Linked DNA regions of Schizosaccharomyces pombe. The protein of the gene in region 2 interacts with the protein of the main gene of each other region in a biochemical or structural test. Each region holds a gene or a part of one and is shown on either strand. Other genes may lie near its edges.

Region 1 (17,743 bases), 2.8 Mb from region 2:
ATCTACTATTGTAAAATGATTTATCTCATTTACAGCGCGTGCTTCCATTCATGATTCATCCTTTTTGCATTCGCACGTTAATGATCATCTAAAGGATACCAAGTTACTGAGCTTCACTTTAATTTGAGGGTCCTGTTCAAATAGGTAAAAGAGTGATTAATACAAATAATCAATTATTTAATTGAAAGAAAATCTATAGCAGTATTTCTCGTAAATACGATATAAAAATATGTAACCTATAAACGCAGAAATCGCGTTTTTTTGAATACATTTATTATGTTTACTTAGCATACATAAATTTAATAACGCTGTTGGAATACACAATTTGAATTAACGTACTGGTTTAACTAGAGGACGTTAGTGCAGCCTTTCCCCAGCAGCTACCATACTTACTTTAGTCGTGTATATGTATAATTGAAAATTTCAACAATCTTTTATTTTTGTTCCTTCGTTGAAATATCTACTAAAATATTTTAACTTTGATAATTAAGTATTGCATAAGGAAATGGATGCGTTGAAACTTTTGACAACTAATGTCAAATTTAAGAATAAAGTACCTCAACCTTCTATAAAAGAAAAAGAAGCAAAAAAATTACAAGGTATTACTAAGGGAAAAGCTAAAGTTACTGGTAATAATCCTGTTGATCCAATTGAAGAGTTTCCGGAAGGAATACTTTGTGAAAACTTAAAAAAACAAAACATAACAGAATGTACCACAATTCAAAGATATGCCATTCCAACGATAGGTTCTAAACGAGACCTATTGGCATGTGCACCAACTGGTTCTGGAAAAACTATTGCATATCTATTCCCAATTTTGCAAAAACTTCAGTTACATGTTCCGGGTGGATATAGAGCGATTATCGTAGCGCCGACTAGAGAACTGTGCGAGCAAATATATAGACAGGCAGAAAAGCTGTCTTTTGGAACTTCATTGAAGATAATTGAATTAAGTAAATCTAATGAAAAAATTCAAGAAAAAGCGCCCAAGCTCCGGGAAAAGTATGACATGTGCATAGGCACCCCGATGAGATTAGTACAAGCAATACAAACCGGATTGTCCTTTGAAAAAGTAGAATTCTTTGTTATGGATGAAGCTGATAGACTTTTTGAGCCTGGCTTTATTGAACAAACTGATCATATTCTAAGTGCATGCACCAGCTCTAATATTTGTAAAAGCCTTTTTTCCGCTACTATTCCATCACGCGTCGAAGAGTTAGCTAAAGTCGTAACGGTTGATCCGATTCGAATCATCGTTGGTTTGAAAGATGCAGCCACGGATAGCATCGATCAGAGACTCTTGTTTGTTGGTTCGGATACTTCCAAAATTGTGATTTTGCGTCAAATGATTTCAAATGGAGAGTTAAAGCCTCGAGTCGTAATATTTGTTCAAGATATAGAAAGAGCGAAAGCATTGTACACAGAACTCTTATTTGATGAAATTCACGTTGGTGTCATTCATGGAGAATTACCACAAGCCAAGCGCGAAGAAGCACTTGCGAAATTTCGGAAGGGTGAAATTTGGGTTTTAATAGCAACAGATCTTCTTGCTCGTGGTATCGATTTTCATGGTGTAAAGATGGTCATCAACTTTGACTTTCCTCAAAGTGTTCATAGTTATATTCATCGTATCGGTCGAACTGGGCGTGCAGGAAATACAGGACAGGCCGTTACTTTTTTTACAAAGGAAGATGGTGAATATATCAAGCTTATTGCTGGTGTAATGCGTTCATCAGGTTGCGAGGTTCCAAACTGGGTTATGGCACTTCCTAAACCTAGTAAAGAAATGAAAAAGAAGTTGAAGAAGAGTCCTCCTAAAAGAAAGAGGATTACTACTAGAGCTTCTTACGACAGACAAAAGGAACAGCGTAAGAAGGAGTATATTAAGAAGGTAAAAAAAGAAGCCTCTATCAAAAAGCATAATGAAGCTACTGGAGACAGTGGACAATAGATTGTTGCTACTGAAAGTATTTATATAAAGGGTTTTGGGTTTTAGTTTAGTTTTTGTGTTCATTTAAAAAAGTCATATTCACTCCAAAATACTATTGCTTTGATATAATAGAGCCTTATATTTTTTAGCAATCATATTATTTTCTTTTACTTTTATTTGTGGTAAGAAACTTTTATGTTACTGTGGTACCTGACATATCTAACTTTACATCTTTTGTTTAACAATAATGCAGCAAGTGCTGTACGGCTTTTTAAAACTGATAAAAATCTACACGAGTACAATTAATGTAGGCGTAAACAGGTACAAGGAGATTATTTTATTTTAAGTACCCAACAGGGTTTTTGCAATTGTTATTTTAACTACAATTTGAAAGCTATATTACGTTGCTGACACTGTTTTATAATTTCTCGTTTTCGAAATCACGAGTGTGTTTCAGTAAATATTATATTGTTTTAACTTACTTTATATTGTGTATCATTGAAATTACCTATGAACGGAGAAAAATTGGTGTTACTTAATTGGTATATGGGAGTAGAAACTTCATCACAACCTTAACTTACCGAATCCCATCTCTTTCCAATTCAGGCTATTTCGAAGTATAATGTTTTCCACAAGTCGAATTATCTCTCGTATTAATTACAATTTTTTAAGGAAGAGTCACTACTCTACTAAAACAGTTGCTGAACAAGCCAAGGGTCGTTTCACTCCCTTAATCCAAAAATTATCGGGTATTTTAAACATAACGGTTAATTTGTTTAACTAACTTTTTCAATTTAGCTGTACAACAACCTATTATGTACTGGGCAAATGTTTCGAAAGAGCTGGTTCAACAAGTATATCATTCTCAAAAAATTGCACCCCCTTCCAATACTCATGTAAGCAACTATTTGCTACAAAGAACAGATCCACTAATTTCTCTTTTAGTCTCCCTTCCTTTTTTGGAAAAGTCAATCCTCTGAAGCATGGGGCCGCAATTTTTTCATCGCAGTTGAAATAGTTGGTATTTTCTGCGCTGGCCAGATGGTTGGTCGTAGAAAAATTACTCCATATCATTAAAAAGATGAATTTAATCTTTCATAAAAGCTTCTGATTGCTGGATACTTATGCATTTCAACTACTGCGAATTCATTTTGTCTCCAACATACACCAGGCTGTTCAATAAATGAGACTATTAATAACTATCTTTTGTTAACATATTAAGATGAGGTCTTTATAAAGCATTTCTGTTAATAGGGAAACTAAATTATAGGTCTTAGGTAGCAGGACCTAATTGTAGGCGTAAGTGTTATTACCCGGCACTGTATTGCTTGTTTTTCAATTTTGATTTTGAATAACCATTAATTTAATTGTAAAATCTACCGAAAGCAAATGTCTCATTTTCGCAATCAATCTTAAAATCAGTTTGTACTAATAAATAAATATTGCTAAATTGATGGAGTTACCTCACTGTCAATGAGCGATTTCGCATATTTTAGTTTCCACATCTCCAAACAAAATGGGATAATCCTACTACCAAATACTTTCTGCGCTACACCACCTTTAGGGGAATTTTTGGGTCTGACCTGAAAACATAATCCAAGAAAAAGAATTCAATGTTTAATCAACGCTTAGTACACACATCAAGGATAGCTATTCGTAATGTACAATACTTACGCTATAATAGTACATGTAAGCAAACTTAGGAATAGTCATTTATTTGCTAACGCTTCAGCAATCCCAAATCTTCAAGCAGTTATTCGTAAAAAATTGCTGGATTCCATGAAATCTAGGCAAAAAGATGTTGCGTCTACTTTAAAAGTACGTTGGAAATAAAACGTGACGGTCTACATGTTAAATTGCATCAGTGTTCAAGCAATGTGAAGAGGCTGTCAGAACTATGTTATCTATGTTTGTAGATGAATATGACGCTAACAAGCTTAGGTATTTCTCTCGGAAATCGAATATGCAAACAAGTCGAGTAAGCCAGTTACTACAGACTTAGACGTTCTGCGAGTACTTAAAAAAAACATAAAAAAGCGTAAACAAGCTATTGAACAGTTTCGCAAGGCTGAGCGTCTTGATCTAGCGGAAAAAGAAGAATCTCAGATTCAAACTTTACGACAATTCCTACCTGAACATGCTAGTAATATTTAAAAATCTGTAAAAAGAATACAATCTAGTCATTTAATAAGTCTCTATCCTTCAATGCTTTATCAGCTTACCCTCGAATTTAAAAATATCTTGACTTAAATAACTCAACGTTCTTAATGTGTGCAAGCCACGCTACTAAAGACAGTTTCTTTTGGTTTTTTAATAACAATGTTATACTACGCAGCAATATGACACGATTGATTCTGCAACGTATCATTACATATCCTGTAAATGCTATGCGCTCTTTCAATGTTTTGAATTGAACAGCTAAGACTTATGTAATGAGAAGCTTTCTGAGTTTTTTTACACTGATTCAATTTATGCATGTGAGTTTCCATTCATACAATTAAATTAAACAATCGTCGCTGTTTTCAGCTCTTAACAGCATTATCTTATTATTAGTAATGAAATTTTGGTTAAAATTTGATAAGCGATCGGTATCTTAATTATTTAAAATAAAAGTTAATGCGGTAAAGTAAGTGAAACTATTGCAACGCTTCGATATCTCATCTGTTGAACTATTTGAAGCCGAAAAAATTGGAAACTTTAATTTTTTTCCTTTATAATGAGTATTGTATTAAATGCTTGAATGGTTTATTTAATAGCATTGGAGGTTGGAGGCAAGTAAGCCAATTCCCTCTTTGCGCTCATTATGTGACGGCGACTTACCAGCTAACTCAGCAATTACCAACTACCTTTAAATACGCCAGAAAATTAATAATAGCCCGAAACGTTCTTTGTGCCAGTTTGTAATTTAAATTCGTACAGGCCCATGATTACACGTTTATCGGGCGCTTGCTTGAGGCGATCAGGTGCTAAAAGAAATTGGCCTCGTGAACATTTGGTTCATCGGTCTTTGCTTGCTAGTTTTTCCACTACACAGAGGGTTTTAAAATGCTCAGTCGGACCTTTTCGTACTTCAAATGTTGTTTTCAAAAGTAAAGAACCAAAAGATAACAAACCACTGGATAACAAAAACGATCCCAAAAAGACACATAATGAAGATGAGTCACATACCAACGAATCTTTGCCATCTACGGATAAAAAGAAAAAAAAGGATAATGACGATTTTAAGCAAAATTTGAAATCTTCTTCAAATAAGACTGAGGAAAAGTATTCTGCTACACAAGCTTCTAAGTCTAAAAATGACGAATTTGAATTAGGTGGTGAAGAAAATGAGGATGAAATGCCTTTAAATGGGGAATTTAATAAAAATGTTCCGGCCAAATATTCGGTTCCTGATGTGTATCCTCAATTACTTGCGTTACCCATTGCGCGACGACCTCTTTTCCCTGGTTTTTATAAAGCCATAGTTACCAAAAATCCCTCTGTTTCAGAGGCCATTAAAGAACTGATTAAAAAGAGACAACCTTATATCGGCGCGTTTTTGTTGAAGGATGAAAACACTGATACCGATGTTATAACGAACATTGATCAGGTTTACCCGGTCGGTGTTTTCGCTCAAATCACCAGTATTTTTCCAGCAAAAAGTGGTAGTGAACCTGCATTGACTGCTGTTTTATACCCTCACCGTAGGATACGAATAACTGAACTGATACCTCCAAAAGAGGATGCTGATAGCGCTGCTTCTTCAGACGCAGCAGAACTTGAAACCGATAAAAGCTCTAATCTTTCTTCCAATGGAGAAGTTAAGTCTGATCTCAAACAAGACAATGGGAAAGAGGAACCTGAAAAGGAAGTTGAAAGCACACCCTCAATTCTTCAAAACTTTAAAGTCTCTCTTGTTAATGTCGAAAACGTTCCTAATGAACCTTTTAAACGACAGGATCCTGTAATTAAGGCGGTAACGTCTGAGATTATGAATGTTTTCAAAGATATTGCAAACGTTAGTCCCCTCTTTCGTGAACAAATTGCCAATTTTTCAATATCGCAAACGTCTGGCAATGTTTTTGATGAACCTGCTAAATTGGCAGATTTTGCTGCCGCTGTTTCGGCTGCAGATCATCGCGAATTACAGGAGGTTTTAGAAGCTACAAATATAGGAGATCGTTTGCAAAAGGCTTTGTATGTACTAAAAAAGGAACTATTGAATGCCCAACTTCAGCATAAAATTAACAAGGAAATTGAGCAGAAGATAACTCAACGCCATAAAGAATATCTTTTAACCGAACAGCTAAAGCAAATTAAAAGAGAACTTGGACAAGAACTTGATAGCAAAGAAGCATTAGTAACTGAGTTCAAGAAACGAACTGAAAGCTTGAGTATGCCTGATCACGTGAAAAAGGTTTTCAATGATGAACTGTCCAAATTTCAGCATTTAGAACCAATGGCTGCTGAATTTAACATTACTCGTAATTATTTGGACTGGATAACCCAACTTCCTTGGGGAAAGAGGTCTGTTGAAAATTTCGATTTAGATCATGCAAAGGAAGTCCTTGATCGAGATCATTATGGGCTTAAAGATGTTAAGGATCGTGTTCTTGAGTTAGTAGCTGTAGGTAAGCTAAGAGGAACTATGCAAGGAAAGATTATGTGTTTAGTTGGTCCGCCAGGTGTCGGTAAGACTTCTGTTGGAAAATCTATTGCATCTGCCTTAAACAGGGAATTCTTTCGCTTCAGTGTGGGCGGTCTGACTGATGTCGCTGAAATCAAAGGACATCGTCGTACCTATATCGGAGCAATGCCTGGAAAAATTGTGCAAGCTTTGAAAAAGGTGCAAACTGAGAACCCTTTGATTCTTATTGATGAAATAGACAAAGTGGGCAAAAGTCATCAAGGGGATCCTGCGAGTGCACTTTTAGAGCTTTTAGATTCAGAACAGAACTCAGCTTTCCTAGATTACTATATGGATATTCCACTCGATGTTTCATCTGTTTTATTTGTCTGCACGGCGAACACCATTGATACTATTCCTCCACCTTTGTTGGATCGTATGGAGGTTATTGAACTATCTGGATATGTTTCAGCTGAAAAAGTTAACATTGCTAAAGGTTATCTTATACCCCAAGCCAAAGCTGCTTGTGGTTTAAAGGATGCTAATGTGAATATCAGTGATGACGCTATTAAGGGTTTAATTAGTTACTATGCTCATGAAAGCGGTGTACGAAATTTGAAAAAATCTATTGAGAAAATATTTCGTAAAACATCTTTTAGTATTGTTAAAGAAATTGACGATGAATTAAATTCTAAAGAGAAGTCTACGGGTAAGTCGGGAAAGAAAACATCTCCTCAATCATCAGAAGATGCAGCAAACAAAGAAGCATCATCTGTTCCGTTAAAAGTTCCCGATAAAGTTAATATCGAGATTGAAGAAAAGGACTTGACTAAATATTTGGGTCCCCCCATTTATACTTCTCAGCGACTTTATGACACTACTCCTCCTGGTGTTGTCATGGGACTTGGTTGGACACCCATGGGAGGTGTTTCGATGTATGTAGAAACTATTGTTAAAAACATTTTATCATCCAATTCTACTCCCTCTTTGGAAAGGACGGGGCAACTGGGAGATGTGATGAAAGAGTCATCTGAAATTTCGTATTCCTTTTCAAAAAGCTTTTTGTCTAAGCATTTTCCAAATAATAAATTTTTTGAACATGCGCGTTTGCATATGCATTGTCCCGAAGGCTCCATTTCTAAGGATGGCCCATCAGCAGGTATCACAATGGCTACATCTTTACTTTCTTTAGCATTGGATACTCCGGTACCAGCGACTACTGCCATGACTGGTGAGCTAACCTTGACCGGTAAAATTTTACGCATTGGTGGCTTACGAGAAAAGACGGTTGCTGCCAAATTATCTGGTATGAAAGAAATACTATTTCCAAAAAGTAACTTAGCCGATTGGGAACAACTTCCTGATTATGTTAAAGAAGGTTTAACTGGTGTCCCTGTTGCATGGTATGATGATGTTTTTAAACGGGTTTTTTCAAACATTGATGCCGAAAAATGCAACAATCTTTGGCCAAATTTAATAAAGTCATCCTCCAAGCAGCATCAAATTTCACCCAGTCATTAACATTCTCCTATTAGAAGGATACTACCTTTATGAAGAAATTATCTAAATTCATTATGTAATAGATATAGTTAATAACGATTTATGTATTGTGCTATATTTAAAAGACAACATGTAGTTTGAATTTATTCTGTTCAATCGTTCGTAAAACAGTAATATCTTTCTATAAAGTTGATAGCTTAAGCCCTTGTTGAGTAACGCAATGCAAGGCAAATTCATCGCATATTTTCTTATTTCTTGGTTACTCTACTATTGAGAAATGGGATTATTGACTATTTTGAGACAGCAAAAGCTAAAGGAACGAGAAGTCAGGGTTTTGTTACTGTAAGATGATTCAAATATATACAGAGTGAAATCTAATGACTTTAGGGGGTTGGATAATGCAGGTAAAACGACAATTTTGAAGTGCCTGTTGAACGAGGATGTAAGTATCTTTTAAGGCTCCATAATTTATCGATTGATAGGTAAATGAAGTTTCGCCTACCTTTGGCTTTCAAATTCGAACGCTTGAAGTAGAAGGACTCCGATTCACGATATGTACGTAGCTTGCAATTTTCGAAATGAACAGTCTTAAGCTTACTAATTCAAGGGGACATTGGGGGGCAGAAAACGCTAAGAAATTTTTGGAAAAATTACTTTGAATCAACCGAAGCAATTATTTGGGTTGTTGACAGCTTGGATGATTTACGTTTAGAAGAATGCAGAAATACATTACAAGAATTGTTGGTAGAAGAGGTAGGCTGAAAATGTGAATTATCTTAACATGCATATAGAAACTTTTGTTTACTTCAATTTTGGTTCTCGCTAATAAGTCTGACGTTTCCGGCGCACTTTCATCCGAAGAAATTAGCAAAGTCAGTTTACAATTTATGAATCCAAGCTAACAACAAGTCAAGATATTAAATATTTCTAAATATAAATCATCGCATTGGCGGATTTTTTCGGTTTCAGCATTAACGGGCCTTAATATCAAAGACGCGATAAGCTGGCTTGCTAATGATCTAAAGGAGATTAAGTTGGGAACTATTGATTATTAAGTTTTCATCCGAGTAATCGTAAGAATCGGTTGTTCCAATCAACTCAGTACCTACAAAATCTTCGTTGAGAAGAAAGTCCTGTCGAATTAAATAGCTTGTCATGTGTTTCCTAAAATATTGTTATTTAGGCTTCTCATTAATAAAGATCACTTACAGGTCTCCTCCAGTCCATTGTTTTAGGATGTCTGCTCTCCTTTTCTCACCAGTTGGACGACGCAAAAATGTTCCTTTCGGTACGAAGGCAACACAATCAAGTATGATTTCATGTGCTGCCAAAGCCGTAGCAACAATAATTGGTATTAGGCTAGCGAATTTTTGCTGACTATGTACTTCCAGAAGAATTACTACGGATCCTGACGCTTGAAATAATATGCTGTGACATTAGCCTCTATAGTTTGTGATGCTACTTACCACCCATCTGTGCAAATGTTGGGATGCACTAATTCGATTGTTTCTTCAATATCCTTTACGGAATGGTTAAGCCCGTTTAATTCGAGCGTATTCCATATGAAATCTAAAGTATATAAAACTGGAACTTTTTCCATATTCTGGTCTTTTTTCTTCAAATGATGAATGAAACCTAACTGCCCTGTTCTCGAATAGCTCTTTTTATCTAATGTCTCTTGCACTAGAAGCTCGCATCCAGAGTTGAGTTCGTTGTTTTCACAATATGAGCCGTGCTTTCCGTTAATCCAAATTTCTCCAATTTCTCCTTCTTGACATATGTATTTTTCTTCAGGGTGAACTATGCATATTTCATTGTATAATGTGCTCTATATTAATTAGTAAATTGCTGCCTAATACTTTTCACGTACAGTTCCGGACCCATAAAGGAGTGGTTGTCTGTTTCTTAGGACATCCTCTCTTACGTTTACGAGACCGCTTCTTAGCTGATTGGCATCAAAGTAATCCTTCATTTTTTCCATGCTCGAATCCGCATTCCAACAAACGAAAGGATTGATCGGATGAGAGTATGCCAATTTTACCTTGTTGGGAGCTAGTCCAATTCTGGCGATATCTTCAATTATACTATTAACTAGGTCTTGTTAGTAAATGCGTCTTTCTGTTTTCCTACTTACCTCTAGAACTTATTGGTCTGTCGTAGCAAGGCACAATAATGCTTGACAAAGTGGAGTTAATAACAATGCTATTACAACCTTGAGCTGTTGAAAAGCTTTTCTGACAAATGTTAAGTGGAATCATAACCTTTGATAAAGAGTTTTGCTCGATAGCCTCAAAAAGCAGGCTACCATTGTTACATAAGTTTTCTTGTTTTATCAATAAAGTTGGTACTCCTATAATATGCGTTAATTATTTTTTTCACATTTTGAAAATATTTACCTGCATATACTCCAAGCAAGGCAGTATGCAATAGGCCCATTCCACTTGAGAATTCAATCCCACCAATGATTGGTTTTTCTTCATTTCCAATTACAAATTCTTTTTGTTCATGGCAAAATGCCAGAAGACTAGAATGAGAAAATTGCGTTGGGATGATGGAACCATCTTCCAGCTTATTAATACTAATTAGCGCGACTTTCCCTTTATTATTCAATTCCCCCGGGGTTATTAGATTCAATGCTTTTTTTGCACGTTTTGAAATGGGGATTCCAGTAGTTTCAAATATTTTGGGTGCCTTCATGTTGAGGTCAATGCAAGTTTGTTGAAAGTGATTTGAAATATCCCTGGATTTTAAAGATATAAGAACTTTATGATCAACAAGGATTGCTTCCACATTGAAGGCCTTTGCAATTTTTGTGAATTCTTCTATTTCCCCAATCAATTGTGATATTTCACGAATTTGAAACGGTATTGGTATCACCCCTAGGTGAAAGCAGCTATGTATGCTGATCAAAAACTCTAATGGGTCGTAATAAAGAAGTAAAATATGTGATCTTGCTTTAGCTTTAACTGATAACTGCATATATTCAACATGAGATGCAACTTTCAGCTCAAAATGGGCCCAAGTCAACTCTACTTTTGTTTTTTCGATAGCATTAAAGGTTAATATGGCAGGTGAAGTTGGTGTCTTTGCAGATTTGGTTTTTAAAAAGTCAAGGATAGTAAAGTGATTAAGCAGATTTTCTCGTGCTTTACTAACTTTGTTTTGATGCTTGTACGGATCCATCTTTTGTTTAACATTTAAAGAGATAATCTCTCTATGATGTTTGGAGGCATCTTTTGACCAAATTCCTTTTGAATTGTTTAAATTAATTTTAGATTTTGGTAATGCTGAATCCATGAAAAACCTAACATAGGATACAGGAAGATTTCCTGACAAAAAGGCCAGTTTACACTTATTCGTGTTGATTGCTTGGATTCCCATATACCTGGATCGAGGTAATGATTTGTAAGGAGCAATAAGTATGCTTAGGACATCTAATTTGAATATGTCTTGAGTGACTTGGAAGCTGCTCTCTGTTATTTTTACCAACTCTGAGAACAAATCTCTTCCTTTAAGCCGATTATTTCGAATTAACGAACGCTTAATAATTGGACTTTCAAGTACTAAAACGGAGTAAACTGCTTTGTCGATTTCTATTTCAAAGGCGACACCATCAAAAATTTCGGGAACATATTTCATGATTTTTTTAATCAAGTAATGAGAATAGTGTACATATTTTTCTTCCATTAACTTATCAGCGACCATTGTTTTCCGATATTGCCTGATTTGTTCATCTTTGTTTCCAAGAACAAAAATCTTTTCGTTATGCAAAAATCCTTTTAGACCACTATCCATGAATGAGTTATTCTTTTCAAATTTATTTTCTTGGTTGTTTTCGTAATCAGTTAATTGTTCCCCTTGTGGGTTGTTAATCACGCTAGCAGCTTTCAACTTAGGAAGACAATCAGAATAAACCCAAATTTCTCCAACTTCACCAACTTTGCATATATTCTTCGAATCTTCATTAACAACTGCCACTGATGCCTCAGGGATTGGATACCAAAAGGGAGACATGCAAAGGACTTCGTTAGGAGAATATTTTCGGATATCTAGAAATGGAACAATTTCCACTTTTTCCTTTTCTATTGAACTCTTTAATACCAAGATCTCTTGATAACAAGTATCGGCCATTTGCCGTTCATGTTTCTGTCTGTTGGTGTAACTGATCATCCAGTCTTTGAATGAAATAGGTATTCCACCAAACTTTCGCAAACATAATATCGGAGTGATTACCTCTTTGGAATTATTGGTACCTAAAGGTTGCAACCACCTATCTGAGACTATAATGTTGAATTCCGGGTCTACTACTTCGCATTCAACCATACACAACTTCAAGGACGAAAGGTTCGGTGTATAATTTTTTTTAAATGAAAGTGTAGATTTAGGATCCTCCTGATAATTGTACACTGTCTGCTTCAGTCCAGCATAATCAAACAAACTGTATGTACATCGATATTTAGTAATTAAATATGCTAATAAACCTGGCGTTTTTAGTACTTCTTCATCACAAAAGATGGTACAATATCCTGCAAACACAGAGTTGAATACCCCCATGATCAATCCTAATGGCATAGATGGATGGAAATTGGTAATGAGAACATCTTTCGAATCCTCAAAATTATGGAGCTTCCATCCAGCTTGACGAGCTGGATTGGTTATCATGGACGATGTCAGATTTCTCATCTGACTTAAAAATGTTTTCGTGGTATAAACAGCCTTAATATCATTATAGGTCGAGGAGCTGAACGTGTAATCAATGAGAACTGTGTCATTCGCACGCATCCGATACTGTTTGATTTGTTCAAATTTGTAGTTTGTAAAGTCGTTTGATTTCCACCATGCAAGGCTTTTTGCATTATTCACCTCTGTATCTTTTATGAAGATACGATAAGTAGCCTCTGTAGTAAATGCGACACGAACTTTTTCTTCATTGACAACCAACTTGAGACTTTCTGAAGATGAGGAAGGACTCAAAGGAATTACTACTATTCCAAGCAACAAACAGCCAAAGATACTAATAATATATTCTGAAGCTTCCGATTTTCGATAATATAAAATTACTCTGGTTCCAGGTTTAAGTCCAACGTGATTTTGCGCAACAGACGCAAATTGTTTAGCTCTATTCAGGATTTTATCCCAACTGTAACTCACAGCTTCTTTCCCTTTTTTATCGATACAAATATGAGCAGTAGAAGTTGGATTTTTATTTCTTCGATACTCAAGGACAGATATAATATCCTGCAGCGCCATCATTGAAAATGTTGGATTTCGTGGATCATTAATTTCAAATCTGGCTCTACGTGGAACTGTGAATTGTAGTTTTTCAGCTGCTGTGGCAGTTGATATATCTGCAAACAGCTTCTGAGATACTTTGGCCAATTGTGGTTGCAGCTCTGCATCCCTTGCTCTTTTCACATATTTTAACACTGGGTCTGGTATTGTCTCAAAAGGCAACTTGCTTTTATCTTCATATTTCGAATGCCTTACGGGATGGATTTTTTCGTTTTCTGAAGGTTTCATAAATCTCAGCACAGTATGACTATCCTTGAAATTTTTGCATTTAGTAATTTTTTTTTATATTACTCTTACCGTTTCACTTTTATAATAGACATCGTTTGCTTTCAGCATATGCGCATCTGTTCGAAGGGCTGAACCAGCAGAACCAATTTCAGATATAACATCCTCTTCTATGTCATGCAGTTTTGTCTTCTTATTGAAGTTGAAAAATGATTTTAGACTCATTTTATGGCTCACGTTCGCATACAGTTAGGAATTGAGGATTCCAAAGCTTGTATGAGAAATGTAAACAAATCGCTTATGTTACCTGTTACCTGATTGACTTCACTAAGGATAAACAATAACATTGAATGAAGTAAAAGTGTACTAAGTTTACAAATCCTAATTCAATTTAAAAATTTAGAAAGACTATGCTCTATCCCTGTTCCCCATCATTATTCATTTATGTGCGCAATTAATTTTACAAAATTAACAGTAAATACCAATCTTTTTTATACATATTAGAACGCAAAAAGTTGGATTGTATCAGCTTTTCGAAAAAAGATGCATCTACCAGGGATCGAACCTGGGACCGTCTGCGTGTAAAGCAGAAATCATAACCACTAGACTACAGATGCAACATACAACTAACAGTACTAATTAATATAATTTATTAACTAAGAAACCTGTCTTTACTAATAACGATTGAGAAAAAAGTGATAACAACAGGCTAAGCATTATGCGCTAACTTTGTTTAATTAAAAGTAAACATTCGCAAATTTTGTTGATAACAATGGACAAATTTAGTTGAATACCCCCATATTCATCGCTGTTTATTCTACCTTTCAGAAACTGTTCTTGTTAGTCAAAAGAAACAATACCTGAATAGAAACATTTTGCGGGAATTCATTCTTGCAAATTGTAGATAATTTATTTAATTTAAAACATTTTACGCTATAAATTTAATGATAAGTTACAAATTGCCGCCTTTTTTGCTTTAACATGATGAAAGTTAATTAGTAATAAAAAAAATTATATGAACAGAAGCAAGAGACCTTAATTTAGTACGTGTGATACTATTAATGTTTATTACGTTCAAAATGATGATTGTACCTAGAAGTGCAAAATATTACTAACCGATTTTTACGCGCATGCTTCAGAACTGCTTGCATTTGTCTAACTTGAACACCACACGTTCGGTCTCATAGTATTGTTGAGTAAATAAACACAGTTACCAAAGAGAATTGAAACCTTACTTTATTAAAACTGAAATCTGAACATGAAACGAAGAGCTACTTTTCAATGTCCATTAATTGAATCTACCATAAAACATCAATCTACTAATTATACCAAAACAGAAACAGCAACTACCTCACACGAAGTATCTGAAAATGCAAATGAACATAAAGGAAAATCAAATATCGACATAAACAAAATTGCTTATTACAATGTTGTATGGTATGGTAGCACAATCTCTTTTTTGACTTCATGACTAAACGCGTCAGGAGAAAAATTACTATGAAGAAACATAAAACATGGGAAGGGGATGGCTTTCTCGTTAGAGAAGACTCAAATTTGACTCTTTATAATTCAGATTTTACAAGGTATTCCTACATGTCGAACTTACTAAAAATGAAGTCGCAAACAATATAGCATCTTTTATTGAGAGATATTTTTTATTAATATATGTTAAAGACTCGGATCCTGTCATTCGAGGGTGCCACAAATCAAAGAAGGAGAATTGCTTCGCATTTCCGGGAAAGAAATATCTGTAAGATATACATGTAAGCGAATGTTTCTCATCATCTTTAGATTGAGAAGGAAATCTCTGCAGAAAGTTATGAAGCAGGCACACATATAGATGATTCTCTCCGAGACGTTCATATGCCTGAAATGAAGCGTAAATTCAAGCCACCTTTGAGACCTAACACAATGTACCAGACAATATCAGCACTACCCAAACCGAGGCATGATCCTACTGTGCTTGGAGCTTTGGTGATGAGCAGGCCCAAGACTTGGGATCCAAGGTATGGTAAAAGTGAATGCTTGATCTAACATTACAGGACGCATGTAGATGTTGTTATTGATCCTTTCCTTTCAAAGCATCTTTATTCTCATCAGCGGGAAGGAGTTTCCTTTCTTTACGACTGTTTATTAGGAATGGAAGGAAAATGTGGATATAGTGCAATTTTGGCTGATGAAATGGGCTTAGGAAAAACGTTGCAAACTATAACAGTTGTCTGGACTTTATTGAGTATGAGACTTAGGGTTTTTTTTAACTTTCATTCTCTAATCTTATTATTTAGAGCAGTCTTATTACGCCAATCGTTCTTCGACTATAAACAATGCAATGGTCGTAGCACCTGTCACTCTTTTGAAGGTAAGAAGTTTCAAAACTTCATTACTAATGGCTAGAATTGGGAAAATGAGTTTTATAATTGGCTCGGTCACGAGCGTATTCATGTTTATATAGCTAGATGCGCTGAAGATTTCCAAGAATTTACGTCGAACAAAACTTATTCGATTATCATTACAGGATATGAAACGGTAATTCCTTTATTTATTCTTTTTTCTAATTGCTAAAGGTTTGTACGTACTTGAGAAACTATGGATGCGGGATTGATATTGATCTTCTAATTTGCGACGAAGGTATTGATTTGTTCATAAATAGTTTATTAATCTTAGCTCACCGCTTGAAGTCCATGAGTAGTCAGACTTGGATTACGCTGAATAAGCTAAAAACTAGAAAGAGGCTTCTTCTCACTGGTACGCCTTTACAAAACGGTATGAATCAGTGAATGCTATTTAATTTTAACCGCTCAGATTTGTCAGAATATTTCTCTATGGTTAACTTTATAATTCCTGGATCTCTGGGGACCCCAAATTCTTTTAAAGCTCAGTATGAGCGGCCTATATTAAGGAGTAGATCAATGAATGCTTCCTCTAGGGACATATCATTGGGAGCTGCAAGACTTCAAAGGGTTTGTTTACTAAAGATAAATTTTATACTGATTTTTAGCTTTTTGAATTTACAAGCAATTTCACGTTAAGGAGGAAAGCCAATATACTGGCTAAACATTTACCGCCAAGAAGTATGCAAATATTAAAATCAGTATTAACATAATAGCCGACATTGTTTTATTCATAAAACCAACACATCAACAAGAGAATGTTTATGGACATGTTCTCGATGGTTTCAAGTCAAGCGTTGATCAGAAGGGCTATTATCTTAAAATTTTGACTCGCTTGAGCAAGATATGCAATAGCACCATTTTATTGAGAAATGAAAAGGAAAATTTTTTGTCAACGGAGTTGCAAGATAAGCATGTATTCGAGCAAGAGAATATGTTGCTCTCCTCTAGCAAACTGCAAATATTGGCTGCGCTACTTAAAAGTTTCCAAAGGGGTTGCCAAAAAGCTGTTATTGTGTCCCAATATAAAGAAACTCTCGAGTTGATTGAATTGTTTTTATCAATTTTGCATGTCCGTTTCTGTAAATTGCTTGGAAGTACTCCTTTCTCTGAGCGTGATTTAATAGTACACAATTTCAATACTTCCAGCTTCAAAGAATTTAGTGTGCTTTTACTTTCAAGCAAAGCTGGTGGCTGCGGTTTAAATCTTACCGGATCCACTAGGTTAATAATTTACGAACCAAGTTGGAACCCTGCCCAAGATTTGCAAGCATTGTCAAGGATATATAGAAGCGGGCAAAAGCGGCCAGTCTGTATATACACATTTTTAAGGTACGACCGCTTTTACGAATAACATATTAAGTTATGCAGCAGTGGAATGCTAGATGAGCGCATTTTTATTCGCCAAAATACTAAGCAAGGGCTTTCAAGTTCGTTCATAGTATGTGATTTATTATAAAATTTTATACTGACTTGATTGTAGGATTCCGATGCAAGCCAAAAGAAGAATTTTTTTACGGGTGAAGACATCAAGACACTTTTTTCATATTCAAAAACTGAAACTTGCTTGACATATGAATTAGCATTTGATTCTGATGAAATTGATTCATTAACAAAGAAAAAAGATCCGTTAACTAAAATTGACCATACGATTGATTCCCCAAATACGAAGGAAAAAGATAAAGAAATCAGTTCTTGGAAAAAGGCTTCTGAATATATGGATACTAATTTGGTAAGTTGTATTTTCATCCTAATATTAATGGCCAGGGGAAAAAGTGTCCAGAGAACGCATTTCAAGGA
Region 2 (14,285 bases):
CGATGTAATACAAGCCGCTTATTCGAGTTTAGGACTTGAAGCTGAGGTAGGCCCGGATTACAGGTATAGTCAAGAAAAAATCTTTGAGGCGTTTCATTCTGCCCTCCTAAGAAAACCTGAATTTGCCAGAGCTATTAGGAACGATTTGGAGACTATTGGCTATGCAAGAAAGAGTTCTGAAATTTTAAATTATGTTTTGTCTACAGAACAGGCTTTTTATACGGTTAATGAAGCCTACCAATGGTTGGGCATTAAGTCTAACACCGAGGACGCCATGGTAGCTTCTGTGGCCTTAGTGAAATTTGAAGATGATAGCGACAAAGCCATCGAGGCCGTCAAATGGATAGCTGAAGAGAGAAATAGCTCCATTTTGTACGATTTCTTGGCTTCACAAGGTAGACCTTCCAACAAGAAGCCTAAAGAAGTGCCTATGGATGAAGATCTAGCTTACAACACATTAGGTGTTCAAGATCGTGCACTATCAGATGACGTTTTAATCAATGTATACGGCTTTGCTGTTGAAGACCACCCAGAGCAATCAGACACTTTGAGAGCAGCTTTGAAATGTATAGGAGAAGTTAGGAATTCGCGTTTAATCACTCATTATTTAGAACATGGAAATCTAGATATTCCACCAGAAGTTTCAAGTTTGGATACTCCGATCGGTTTGGAAAATACTGGTAATCTTTGTTATTTGAATTCCCTGATCCAATACTACTTTATTATAAAACCTCTTCGTAATGCAATTTTGGATATTGATGAAAACAAAGATCTTAATATGATTGAAAACAAGGAAGCTGTCAAGAAAGTTGGTGGACGGATTGTTACTCGAATTGAATTCTTGAGGGCTTTACAATTCACTTATGAACTCCGAAAATTATTTATTGAACTCATTACTTCAAAGTCATCGTCTGTTCATCCTTCTTCAGTACTGACATATCTTGCTTTAATACCTCTTACGTTGGACCAGGTCAAATCTGGAACATCCTCGGTTATGGATTTGTCATCGTCTCGAGAGTTGAGCAATTTGAATGAGAGATCTATCACTATTGACCCCAGAGCAGAAGAGCAAGCTCAAGGGCTTGAACAAGAACAAGGACAGGATGAGGCCAAAAGTCCAGCGGAACAATCTTCATCAGTTAATTTAATTGATTTTCCCATGGCCAATACTAACGGAGAGTCTCAAACACAACCTCATTACTTTGAAGTATCTGAAGAAGAAATAAACTCCTCCATGGATTTAGGTCGTCAACAAGATGTCTTGGAATGTATTGATCACGTTTTGTTTCAACTGGAAGCTTCACTTGGTCGTATTTCCAACTCAGAAGATCGTCTTGGCTCTGATAATGATCTTATACGACGTTTGTTTTCTGGCAAACTAAAACAAACACTAAATGATGCTAGTCAAGGAGTACGGTCTAACTATGAGATTTTTTCTCACTTGATCGTTGACCTTTTCGAGGAGAAACAAACATTGTATGATGCATTGGATGGTGTTTTTGAAACAGTCAATATTGATATGGGAAGCGAAACTGCCCAACGATCCTTGTGTATTACTGAGCTACCGATAATTTTGCAATTACAAATACAGCGTGTCCAATTTGACAGGACTACTGGACAGCCTTTCAAGTCTAATGCATTTGTTGAATTTGGAAAAGAACTTTCCATGGACAGATATGTTGAAGATACTGATGGGAAAATGGCACCTTTACTACAAAGGTACTGGGATCTAAAGCGTGAAATTATCAACCTTCAAAAACGACAACAGCTATTGTTAACTACAAATTCGAATCTAATGTCATCTGTTGATACATTGTCTATTCTATCTAAATGGGCTGCACAGCAGCAGGATTCGAGACTTCCTATTAATCCAAAACTTCCTGATATCCTTCAAGAGGAAATAAACAATGTTGTCGCTGAAGTGGATATGCTTAAAAAACAGGAAGCCAGCTTAAAAGAAGAAAGGACGCATCTTTTCGATAATTACATCAGCCATAGCTACGACTTGCTTGCTGTATTTGTGCATCGTGGACAGGCTTCATTCGGTCATTATTGGACTTACATTCATGATTTCGAAAACAATGTGTATCGAAAATATAATGATGAATATGTTACTGTGGTAGATGAAAGCGAAATTTTTGCTGATACTACGGGCAACAATGCTAACCCTTACATGCTTACGGTAAGTCGTTATTATTTCCCATTTGAGGGAAATAATCATTTTCTCAAATTTTTTCCAGTTTACATATAGCTAACATTTATCTAGTACATTAGGAAAGAGTATCGACACATAATTGAATGTGTTCACCGTGAACACAATCTTCTGCTTTAAAAACTATGTGAAGGGTAAAAACTAGGATGGATCATCCGTGATCAATTGCTATGAATGGAGGTTGGAAGTTGTAACGTTTTTCACGATATTAAAGCATGGAAGCTATGAATTCATATTTCAAAAATCTATTTATACATAAAAATTTAGTTATACTTTATACATCGGTACGGGTTAATAATCTATTAGTCTTTACTATAAAGAGAAAATTTTTCTATGACAAAATTGCAAAAAGTCTAGCAAAAAAATTGAAATGTAAACAAACGGCTTTTATTATTAAAATGGCGATTATCGCAAATTTTATTATAAGTAGTAATCTTTGACAAAAAATGTAATTAATAGATGAAACTAGTAGAAGTTTCCAATAAATAAGTCAATAAATCACTATAGAAGTACCATGGAAAAAACATAAAAGTAGCTGTAGAATCAATAGCAGGTTTTAAGGTAATTTGAACGAGCTTTGTACAAAAATACATCAACAGTGCCGTGAATGTGCCAAGTTATTCATCAAAGAGAGCGAAAAGTAAAATGATGCGTCGTAAAAAAAATCAGGTAGGGCAAGATTAACTAATAAACTAGGTATTTAAAACAAGGATCATCCGCCCATAAACCGAAATAGAAAAAGAGAACATGTTTAAAGAAAAAATGAAAACTATAAGGGAAATAAAATCTTAACACATAAACGAAAAAGTAAGGAGCCGATTATTTTGTAAAGTATACGGCCGCAACTAAAAGAACCTATAGATCGTGACTAAACCACTTCTTCCGGAGACGTTTCACCAGGTGAGTCTGTCCGACTAATGGCATTCTTCATACGGCGTATTCTGATGAACCCAAAGGTGTCTACTAGTACCAAGCACCACCCGATTATAATGAGAATAGAGCCTATAAGCTTCTGATGTGGTAACTCGTCGTAATTGTATTGATCGTCGTTATTCTCCATCCCACTCTCCGAAATCATTATGTAGCCACGTTGAAAAAGAGTTAAACTAAGTCCAATTTGAGCACCATAACGACCCAAATGAGTCGTCGATAAGACATATGTGACAAGAAATCCTACAAAAGGAAAGAGAATAGCGACACAAGCACTCCATACAAAGGAGAAACCAGTTCCAACGGACATCCCATCAATGTAAATCTCGTTAGATCCGTAATCTGGAATTACCATAGTGGTATCCCAGTAAGGAGGGGCGGTATCCGCAGCAGCCTGTTCATAAGAAGGGGGCTCCTCTTCCAGTTCTTCAGTATTAGATTCCACTGTGGGTTTAGCAGATAAATTAGAGAAGACACTATCAACGTGATGGCCATCTGCATGATTTGATGAAGTGCTGGGAATTCGATCATTGCTACTACGTACATGCCCAGAGTCGTTGCCAGGATCCGGCGTTGATAAATGTTGGTAAAAAGCTTCTTCTCCTTCTATTGATGCTCTGGCAGAGCTATATAAAGGTGCTGTTTCACTGTATTCCACATCGTCGTCTGGAGGCTCGAAAGCAGCTGCCAATTCCGATCGATTTGTAGACCGGTTTTCCGGAAATTCAGGTATTGGAGTATGAATTGAATTTTGCTAAAATAGATTTGTTAGACTGATATATCAGGGAATTTAAACAGTATAAAAAGAAGGCTTATCCTTACATTTGAATTAGTACTCATGGGAATTGTGATATCTTTCAACCCGTATATAATGAGGTAAAGTGATTAATGAACGTTCCCAAAAATTTCCGTATTTTTGTTTTTTAACCCACTAAATGCTCTTTGATTTTAAATTAACAGAGTGGTGGAAGAGTACAGGATGGATCGAAACCATGGTATTATTAATGATCGTTACTTGCAAGTAACAACTATATTCAAAATCTGTAGAGAAATCAGATTAAAAAAAAAATATGGGAATTGAGTGTTTTAGGTGACATATCAGAAGCTAAATTCCCGTTATAAATTATTTTTGATATCTATTCTTTTCAATAAACCAAACAAGCCAATTGAAATCAATGGCTTGGGTTATAACAATTAGTGATCAGATATGTATTCCGACAAGAAGTGGTATAAAAAGTCGAAAATGAGAAACAAGGAATCTCAAAGGATTTACTGATATAATCGACTTGGTGGTAAGATGGATGGATGACATGAATGATTAGAAAGGCGTACGAAAGAATATTAAATTAAAAAAAAAAAGCACCAACGAGTGTATGTCAGTAAAAGACCAAGCTAAACCGTTACGTATTTTTACTAATGGATGATTTTGGTGCATACATATAGAATTTTAAGCGTCAAAAAGGTCACTAGTGATACGAAAATGTGGAGACGGGTCAGAGCGTGCCCAAGTAAAATCCAAAATAGGATGCTCATCTTTATAAGAAAAGGATATCTCCTTTGATTCTTCAATGACGGGCGATGTTTTGCATCGCAGGTGCACACGAAGGTTGGTAGAATGGTGAAGACGAAACTAGAAGGCGTTAGCGATATAATCAATCAAAAGAAGGGCCAGAAGGCAAAGTAAAATCAAACAGTAGAAAGCATTATCAATTTTGTTTACACAGCATTGTTGTGATCCATACTAAGAATATGGGATCTAAATATTGACAACCTAATATAATGATAGCAGTCTCTACGTCTAACTAATAGTTTCCATCAAAACCATCGTCTAGATGCCTTCAAATTTATCAAAAAAACTTACTTGGTGACACGATACACAGATTGTTGAGTCGTTAATATCAGAAAGATGGATAGAACCCTGAATGGTTGGGAAAGTAAAGTTGCATTTTGTAGCGTTATGTAAGTTCACAGATGAGCAGTTGGATATGGAAATATTGCATGATCGTAAACTTTTTGCGGAAACTTTGACAGCTTTGTTGTTAGGATATGGAATGACATTATCTCCAATGTTTTGGTTTTTCAAATTTGCCAAGTACAGGGTGTCATTTTCAAAATAAACTTCTGGAGCTTCAGCATTAACTGTAATATTTTTTACCGGTTTCTGGGACGATTTGACGTGCAGTGCCCGTTGAAAGCGAAATGGCTGTCTGGGCAAAATGTCGTGTCGAATTTGCTGAAGCCTTCGTGTCAAATCTACTAGTTGTTCCATGCATACTCTCCTGTCATATGGTGCAATTTGGTCTTGAACTTCATTTAGCTCCCTCGTCATTTCACCTAAATATTTTGACTTTTCTTCAAGCCAAGTCTCTTTTTCGGAGCGAGAAGTCTGCTCACTAGGAGTGGATTTATATAATTTGGTAAGAAATTCTACAAAAAAGTAGTTAGTAAATAGCACAACAAACAGACCTTTCGATATGAACGAAATTGCAGATGTAAATAAACCCATACCTTTTCTCAATTCGACGAACTTTTCAGACATTTTTCCTTTTAAATTAGAACTAAAACACCCGTTATATATGCAAAATTAAATCACAGTACGTTATGCTGTGTTCAATGATCATTCAATAAACATATATTTTTTCAATTTTAACCTGCACCAAAAGTCATTCAAACAGCTCGGGAAAAAAAGGATTCTTAAATAAATTCATCAAATCAGTATTAGTTTTAATCTTAACTTCGATACTTCGGGTGCAAAAATTATTATGAATTTTTAAAATTGAAACCAAAAATCCAACTCTTCAAAGGCGAAGTACAGAAGACAGTGCCTTGAAATGAAAATTATCTTCACTCAACTCAAAATGACTTTAAGATTTGGAAATAAACGAAGTTTTGTCGATTTTATCGTTATGAATATTTTTAGCGGCTCTTATCTTTTATCATTGAGAATCATCTTAAATTTACCTGTATGTGAGCTCAACAGATGTTTGCCTTCCATTCCTTAACAACAACGCCCAGCAGCATTTGTTAAGTGTGAAAATTGAAGTTTAACTACTATATTATCGAAAATGCCTCATGATAATATTCCATTTCCTGTTACATTTGCTGCCGGCGCAGTTGCTGGAATCTCAGAGGTAAGGTTTTTTATTTGGAGCACTTTATTTCATTGAAAGATACGTTTGAAGGCTTTCGGAGAAGAATGTTATTATCTTCAAAATGCTCAATGAATTGCGTAAGGTAAAAGAGCTGTCTTGGAGATGAAGGAAAGCAAACGTTTGATTCCGTAGATGCTGAACGAATTACTTCTTTATAAGTTTTATCCCATGTTTTTTAAATCTCTCTTTACCTCTCTTTTACCATTAAAACCTTTAACATGGCCTTGTTTACTAACTCTTTCTTTTTCAGGTCCTAACTTTGTATCCTTTGGATGTTGTTAAAACTCGTATGCAACTGTCCGTTGGTAAATCAGACTACAATGGAACCTTTGATTGTCTCAAAAAGATCGTCAAGAATGAGGGTCCACATCGTTTGTATCGTGGAATTTTACCTCCAATCTTGATGGAGGCTCCTAAGCGTGCATTAAAATTTGCTTCCAACGATACTTATTCAAAGCTGTGGCGTAAAGTCTTCAAGAGAAAGGATTCAAGTCCTGCACTTTCTATCCTCACTGGATCATGTGCAGGATTTACTGAAACGTTCGTAGTCGTACCTTTCGAACTGATGAAAATTCGTTTGCAAGACGTTAAGAATGCTTCTAAGTATAACGGAACTGTCGACTGCTTTACTAAAATTGTAAAGCAAGAGAGAATTTTAGCTCTTTACAATGGGTTTGAAGCCACTATGTGGCGCCATGTCGTTTGGAATGCTGGATATTTTGGTGTAATTCAAAAGATTCGGAATTCATTGACGCCTGCCTCGAGCAGAATTGGTGAAATCCGTAATAACCTTATTGCTGGAACTATCGGAGGAATATTTGGTACATTCCTCAGCACTCCCTTTGACGTTATCAAGTCGCGTATTCAGACAGTTCCTCGTATTGCCGGCCAAGTTCCAAAATATAACTGGGCCTATCCAGCTCTAGTTACAGTCGCAAGGGAAGAGGGTTTTACAGCCCTGTATAAAGGTTTTGTCCCTAAAGTACTCCGTCTGGGCCCTGGTGGTGGTATTCTTTTGGTTGTTTTTAATTCTGTCATAGAGTTTTACAAGAGATGTCTTGTACATAACGCCTCTGCTTAGAGATCAAGGTTTTTTTTGTTTTTCTCTCCCCCTTTTTTTGGTTCCTAAAAAAATTTTTTTCATTGCCGGGTCTTCAGTAAAGGTTGAAAGAAAAAAGTTTCCTACGACTTGAATTCGTGGGCTCTTTTATCGTATTTAGCAATCGCTAAATACGTGTATATTTGTTATCAAAAGTTTTTTGGCTTAATTTTCTCTTTTTTTTGTTTACATTGCATGTATATATTTTCCATCCCTGTTAATCATTTCGATGCTGTGTTAATCGTTAAATTTAGCAAGTCTTTCATGATTGAAGAGTACATATTGATTTAAACATTGACCTTCGAAAAACCGTTGTGTTTTTCTCTTAGATTTGCGATCATTAGTATAAGTAATTATACAACGCAATCTGTTTCAACACTTTTTAGAATTTTTGTTATATGTCTTCATTCCTTCAAATGAAAAAACTCAATCAAGCATCCCAGCCATTTCGGTATATTTATAATATTATATTCTACGTGATTACTACAGTCGTTATTTTTAAGGTGTGAAAAACAAAATCATAGATAATGAAATACATTTATTAAATGGACTATCCAGTTGAAGACCCAGTAGTATTTTTTCGTAGCTCTTTTAACGGTTACTCTTGGCAACACGCTCAAGCTCATCCTTCTTCTTGATGGCGTAAGAGTTGGAAGAGCCCTTAGCAGCATTGATGATTTCTTCAGCCAAGCATTCAGAAATGGACTTGACGTTACGGAAAGCAGCCTCACGAGCACCGATGGTGATAAGAGCAAGAGCTTGGTTGACACGACGAAGAGGAGAAACATCAACGGCTTGACGACGAACAGTACCAGCACTACCAATACGAGTGGAGTCTTCACGAGGACCACAGGCAGCAACAGCATCAACCAAAACTTGGAGAGGGTTTTGGTCGGTCAAGAGAGCAATGATCTCAAAAGCATGCTTGACAATGCGAGTGGCCAAGAGCTTCTTACCGTTGTTACGGCCGTTCATCATCAAACTGTTGGTCAAACGTTCGACAATGAAGCAGCGGGCCTTACGGAACCTCTTGGTCTGGAAACGACCAGCGGTGTGAGGGAGAGGTTGACCATTGCCAATGGTAATGTAATCACTAAATAAAGTTAGAAATTCTGAAATAACATGAAAAGTTGGTGTAAATGAAAACTTTTGTAATTTCCAGCTGCTTTTTCCACATTTGCTCCAAGGTTTAGGTCAAGTAAAACTAGTGAATTGACTGAAAAAAAAAATTACAACAGCATATCCAAGTAACGTATTGTCAGCAGTTCCCTTTCATGAAACCAAGTAACTACAATTGAATTTGTATATTTCAGACAATTCCAAGCACAAAATCTGGAAAGTTTACTAGCAGCTAGAAAACACAATCCCACCTTATACATACACCAAAGAGATATCCTTCACTTCAACACCTTCAAAAGGAAATTTGTTGAACAATTTGATATGTCCAGTTTCATCCAAGGAAACTTCTTTAGGGATGATAGAGGCTGCCATTTCTGTGGTGGTTCAGACGGTAGCTTGTGCAATGTACCTACTAAACCCACACGAACATTTGTGACCGTTCAATAATGAATTAGGGTAGGGTTTATCTGTCGATACTTAATAATGTTTGTTATGTTGAATAAAGTAGTAACTGTTGATTTAACTCAATTGTAATAAATTGTATAATTTTTTACCATTTAGGATTTTTAGTTTTATATAGAAGGCGCTCTATGTTATATTATCTTCACATTTCTACTCTATATGCTGGTATTTTTGGTCGATCGCTGAAGCATGCAAATCGAGGTTAACATAATATTGTTTTGTTTTTATTAACTATTTGAATACTTGTAGCATATAAGTAATACTTCATATACTAGTTTGTAATACTGAGTGTTAATTATATTCCTGATGCAATAATTGCTTGCTTAAAGAATAAGCAATAGCAACATGCGTCTAAATTTCAGCAGACAATTTATTGAATTTAAATTGAACTAATAAATAAAAATATTATATCCATTGAATAGGATAACTATAGAGTTTATGGAATTTCTTGGAATTTAAGCATAATTCATTTATTTATTTATTTATTTTTTTTAATTGTAAGTATAGATGTACCTATTGTTACCCAAAAAAAACTCCAATTTAATAACGAATAAATGATATAAAAAATTGAATTACGGCCTAATTAATTTGGGGTTCTTGTTATCCATTTTTTCCCTATTATACTAGCATATTTTCATGTAATTTGACAGCGCACAATTAGAAACACCCAATTGAGTGTGAACTATTAAACCACCGAAATCTTTTAATTTTTTTTTTCTAATTAAAAAGAAAAAAAAAAGAATTCACCATAATCGCAGTTGTTATACTAGAAAATTATTTTTTTGTTGCCTTTTGGTACTAAAACTCCACACTGACGATAGTAATACAACATAATGCTACCAAGTATAGTTTATTGTAGTCAATATTAGCAGCCAAATTAAAGAAATTAAGAAAAGTTTGAAACGGTCCTTTACTTTGCTTACTTACAAATAATGTGATTAATATTTCAATTCACATTGCGACAAATCTTAGCTCACATTGGATACGAAAAACATTCGACTTTTTGTCAATCTCGCAAACAATTTAAACTAGCAAAAAGGTAGGTAATTTATTTCTTCATTTTTATTGAATTCACAGTTTGCAACTTTTATTCGATGACAATGTACGAGGATTTTGTACAGTACATCAGAATATAGATCTGGAAAGCATGGTCTTGTACTCAGCAATTTGTACACTTGGTTCTTCGAGTCATTTACTTTTCGTAGTTTTCAATTGCCAGCTCACTATTCGGTTCCAAGTTGCTAACACCAGTTGGCGGTAGGAAGGCCATAGAAAATAACTTGCATACCTTTAAGCATTATTTTATTTGTTAAAAAGCAACAAACCTTTCTTCTTCAAATCGTATACCTTTTAAATTTCTTGGATATAACGAGAATCGCTGCATCATGTAAAACAACCCATAATGAAATAATAGGGTAATATTACTGTTATGATTATTTAACAAATTATTGACTACATCGTTATAGATCTTTAACTTGTTGCACTGCTCATCACTACCATTTACACAATCTGGTAAAGCCACCTTGGCTACATCGTTTATCAACTCAGACTGTACAACCTACATTTGTCGCCATGGCAAATTTACCTATAATAGGCATCTATAAGGTGCTGTACAGTTATGAACCGCAAGAAATCAATCCGGGTGAAGAGATTCCAGAAAACGAACGAGAAATCTCGATCGTTGAGGATGAAATTGTTTGTCTTCTTGAGAAAGGTGAAGACGATTGGTATCTCGTCAAACGGAATGTAAACAGTAATGATGACGATGAAGAAATTGGAATCGTTCCTTCAAATTATATTACTGAGGTATGTGTAGAATAAATGACAGAGACCACGGTCTTCTACATGTTTGATGCGATAGGATACGTGAAGGAGAAATAGATCGAGTCTTGTCTTTGCTCATTTAGTAATAATGTTATTGTAAAGCCGCTTGCTAACCATTTTGTGTATAGGCTGAACCCTCAACAAAAATGAAAGCTTTGTATGATTATACTCAACAATCCGTTGATGAAATCTCCTTTCAAGCGGACCAAACTTTAGACTGTTATGGCGACACTGATTCAGATTGGATTTTGGTTGGTTTTAATAATAATTTCGGACTTGCTCCGAGAAACTACGTTGAGGGGATGGATGCGTCCAGCGCCCCGGCATCTCAGGAACCCTCTGCTTCTGGTGTCAACGCTCCAACAGTGAGCGCTCCCAACTCCATGGTCTCTCCTCCACCTTCGTTTCAACCGCCGAGTGCTGCTGCTCCAGCTACTTCCTTGCCCTCTGACTACAACCCCCCACCACCACCACCACCTCCTCCGGCAGTGGAGGATCAGGCGGCAGACGCCAACGAGCCAGATGACTACTACTCCTCTGGCAGAGCCGTGTCTCCTGAGATTCCTCCCACGTACACGCCGAAACAAGCAGATCCTCTTCCGGCTCCTCCCCCACCACCACCTCCAACACTTCCACCCCAATCTACTAATACTTCTCAGCTACCTATGCCTTCCCGTAATGTGAATAATCTTGGCTCCCAAGTTAATATTCCTCCTCCACCGGCCACCCCTAGTCAGCCGCCAAGACCCCCAACTAATGCGTCTACTAGATCTACTGGCACTTCCTCTTCTATGGCTCATTCCTACGACTCCCCTCCTTCTCCTTCGTCGCCTTCAGATGCATATGGAGATCCTAATCAGCATCTCAAATTGCGCACCGATTCCCACGACGATTCTCGAGCCTACGATTCCTCTTCCTCCATGGGTAATCCTGCCTACGAAAAATGGGAGGTCCGTGAAGTCGTTGGCAAGAAAAAGAAACGCACTGGTATTTTAGCAATCAACAATAAGTCAATTGTTCTTACTTTTACTAAGACCATGGACGCTGCCCAAGTTTGGCCCGTTACCGATCTTGTAAATTATTCTTCTGAACGAAAACATGTTTTTATCGAGTTTAATAGTGATTCCGGTATCACATCTTTGCACCTTCATGCGAGCTCTAACACTAATGCCGACAATATTATCCGTGCGCTAGGTGACGTAGCCGGTTCCGCCAGAGCCGCTGGTCTTCGAGAAATCGCTGCCGCAAGTGGAAGCCCTATGCCTAAACTACCTTCAGATTCTGCTTTACACCGATTAAATGCTGCTAGCGATGCAGCTGGTGTAAACGGAGGCCGTACCGGCGATTATGAAATGTCTACTGTTTACGGCGACAGAAGTGCGCGTGCTGAGGACCATAAGCCAAAGGATTCCTCAGCTGGTCAAAAAATGGGTACTGTGCTTTACGACTTTATCGCGGAGGCTGCTGATGAGTTGACTGTGAAAGCGAATATGCGAGTGGTCATTGTCAATGACACAGCAAGTAGCGACTGGTGGAAATGCAGTGTTGATGGTAAAGAAGGTGTTGTACCCAGCAACTTTATTAAGCCCGATACAGAAGGCGACGCAAAGTCACCCCCTTCATCTTCGAAATCTGGTCAGGGATCCTCGCTTTCTAGAAGGGCTTCCAAGCACGAATCTAAACACAAACGCGACAGTAAACATGAAGCAAGACCAGAAAGCAAACATGAGTCTCACCGTGAGAGCAAGTCCGCTGAGAAGGACAAGAAGGACAAGAAGGACAAGAAGGAGGATAGCAAGCGTTCAAGGAGCCATTCGGTTAGTAAACCTGACAGCAGTAAACTGCGTACGTGGACTGATCGAACAGGCGCCTTTAAAGTTGAAGCCGAATTTTTGGGCTATAGCGACGACAAAATTCATCTACACAAAACTAATGGTGTGAAAATATCTGTTCCCAGTGCGAAGATGTCGTACAAGGACCTGGATTACGTTGAATTAATGACTGGCAAGAAAGTTTATTCTCGTACAGAAAGGAAAAAGGATACACAGAAGCAAAGCCATGATCATGGCCATAGTCATAGCAAGTCGCATGATCGTGAGAAGGAGAAAGAGAAGAAGAAGGATAGGGAACATAGGAAGCACAGAGAGACTGAAGAGGAGGATGAAGGTCCACCTCCCCAACCAGCCCGTCCTGAAAGTACTAGACCTGCTCTTGCTCCACCCTCTTCCTCTCATAGCAATGACAAATATGATGTGATTCAGGAAAGGCCCAAGATCTCTTATGACTGGTTTGACTTTTTCCTTCGCTGCGGCGTAGATTTTACCGTTTGTAACCGCTACACCCATAACTTTAACAATGAGCATTTGGATGAAGCATGCATACCTTCTCTAAATCCTGATACACTTAGAACATTGGGATTAAAGGAAGGTGATATCATTCGTGTTATGAATCATGTTAATGAACTCAATGGTGTCTCAACAAAACCTGCATCTGCCATTACTCCAGAAACCAAGTCCACAGTCAACCAAATTATGTCCGGCGGGGAGGCACTTGCTGCCCCAGTCGCAGTACCTGCCCCCATCCCAGCGCCGGTTGCCGAACCTGCTCCTCCAGCAGCACCTGCCAAGGAGGTCGTTGAAAAAGCACCTAGTCCACCAGCGACTCGTCCGAAGTCAACCACACCCCAGAAATTCGATGATGATGCTTGGGCTAACAAACCTGTTACGGAACCCCCTGTTCGTGCTTCTTCTGTCACTGTTGAGCCTGCACGTGTGACGGAATCCATGAACAAAATGAACATTTCTGAGGAAGCCAAGAAACCTGAGGCGCCTTCAAGACCCAGAACTGCACCCATCCCTGAACCTGAGGAACAAAAGAAAGCACCTGTTGAGAAAAAGGATGCGGAGAAGTCGGTCCAAGCACCTATTCCAGCTCAACCAACTGGCAATATTACTATTCAAAATGCATATTTCACTGCTCCTCAACCCATGGCTGCCGATCCATTTCAATCTCCTTTGTATGTACAGCCAACTGGATTTCAACCTCCTCCTAGCGCACTTCCTATCCAACCTACAGGATATATGCAACCAATTCCTGTTCAGGCCACTGGTTATCAACCTTTAATGGTACAGCCCACTGGCTTACAACCCCACATGACTGGAGTTATGCCTCAGGTGACTGGAGTTATGCCACAGATGACTGGAGTTGTGCCACAAATGACTGGAGTTATGCCACAAATGACTGGTGTACAAGTTCAGAAGACTGGGGCTATGCCACAGCAGCCCGTAAACTATGGTTATCAAGTTGCTGGTATGCAACCACAAGCCACTGGTATAATTTCGCAGCCCACGGGCATCCGTGCTCAAGCTACTGGTATAATGACACAACCTACTGGCCTGCATACTCAAGCTACTGGCATGATGCAGCCTACTGGTATGCAACCTCAAGCTACTGGTATCATGCCCCAAGCTACTGGCATGATGCAGCC

Evidence for each region.
Region 1: the proteins of tbc1 (region 2) and alp41 interact in a test that uses a peptide from one of them, tested with the Schizosaccharomyces pombe proteins (one study listed by BioGRID).

Annotation. Positions count from the first base shown.
Region 1 is NC_003424.3:688,978-706,720, forward strand, and holds alp41 (GTP-binding protein involved in beta-tubulin folding Alp41), read left to right. Parts: upstream 1-8,308; 5' UTR 8,309-8,313; coding exon 8,314-8,378; exon of another isoform or gene 8,379-8,423; coding exon 8,424-8,478; exon of another isoform or gene 8,479-8,518; coding exon 8,519-8,591; exon of another isoform or gene 8,592-8,643; coding exon 8,644-8,789; exon of another isoform or gene 8,790-8,827; coding exon 8,828-8,908; intron 8,909-8,950; coding exon 8,951-9,091; coding exon of another isoform or gene 9,092-9,200; 3' UTR 9,201-9,245; coding exon of another isoform or gene 9,246-9,464; 3' UTR 9,465-9,502; coding exon of another isoform or gene 9,503-9,864; 3' UTR 9,865-9,906; coding exon of another isoform or gene 9,907-10,127; 3' UTR 10,128-10,170; coding exon of another isoform or gene 10,171-10,386; 3' UTR 10,387-10,432; coding exon of another isoform or gene 10,433-13,580; 3' UTR 13,581-13,625; coding exon of another isoform or gene 13,626-13,778; 3' UTR 13,779-14,063; downstream 14,064-17,743. Other genes in the region: ATP-dependent RNA helicase Rok1, read left to right, coding at 506-1,951; atp20 (F0-ATPase subunit G), read left to right, coding at 2,553-2,679, 2,729-2,826, 2,876-3,007; mitochondrial aspartyl/glutamyl-tRNA amidotransferase subunit B-related Aim41, read left to right, coding at 3,590-3,748, 3,872-4,084; lon1 (Lon protease), read left to right, coding at 4,854-8,057; mug62 (putative AMP binding enzyme), read right to left, coding at 9,056-9,200, 9,246-9,464, 9,503-9,864, 9,907-10,127, 10,171-10,386, 10,433-13,580, 13,626-13,778; ATP-dependent DNA translocase Rdh54, read left to right, coding at 14,812-14,990, 15,038-15,136, 15,228-15,303, 15,345-15,559, 15,596-15,786, 15,839-15,912, 15,948-16,079, 16,118-16,181 and 7 more.
Region 2 is NC_003424.3:3,488,503-3,502,787, forward strand, and holds tbc1 (tubulin specific chaperone cofactor C Tbc1), read right to left. Parts: upstream 6,071-14,285; 5' UTR 5,682-6,070; coding exon 5,651-5,681; exon of another isoform or gene 5,570-5,650; coding exon 5,004-5,569; exon of another isoform or gene 4,773-5,003; coding exon 4,590-4,772; 3' UTR 4,087-4,589; downstream 1-4,086. Other genes in the region: ubiquitin hydrolase Ubp2, read left to right, coding at 1-2,182, 2,267-2,332; bsd1 (heavy metal ion homeostasis protein), read right to left, coding at 3,081-3,896, 3,965-3,982; odc1 (2-oxoadipate/2-oxoglutarate transporter), read left to right, coding at 6,208-6,273, 6,545-7,375; rps502 (40S ribosomal protein uS7), read right to left, coding at 7,985-8,486, 8,775-8,884; Sla1 family protein Shd1, read left to right, coding at 10,547-10,780, 10,927-14,285.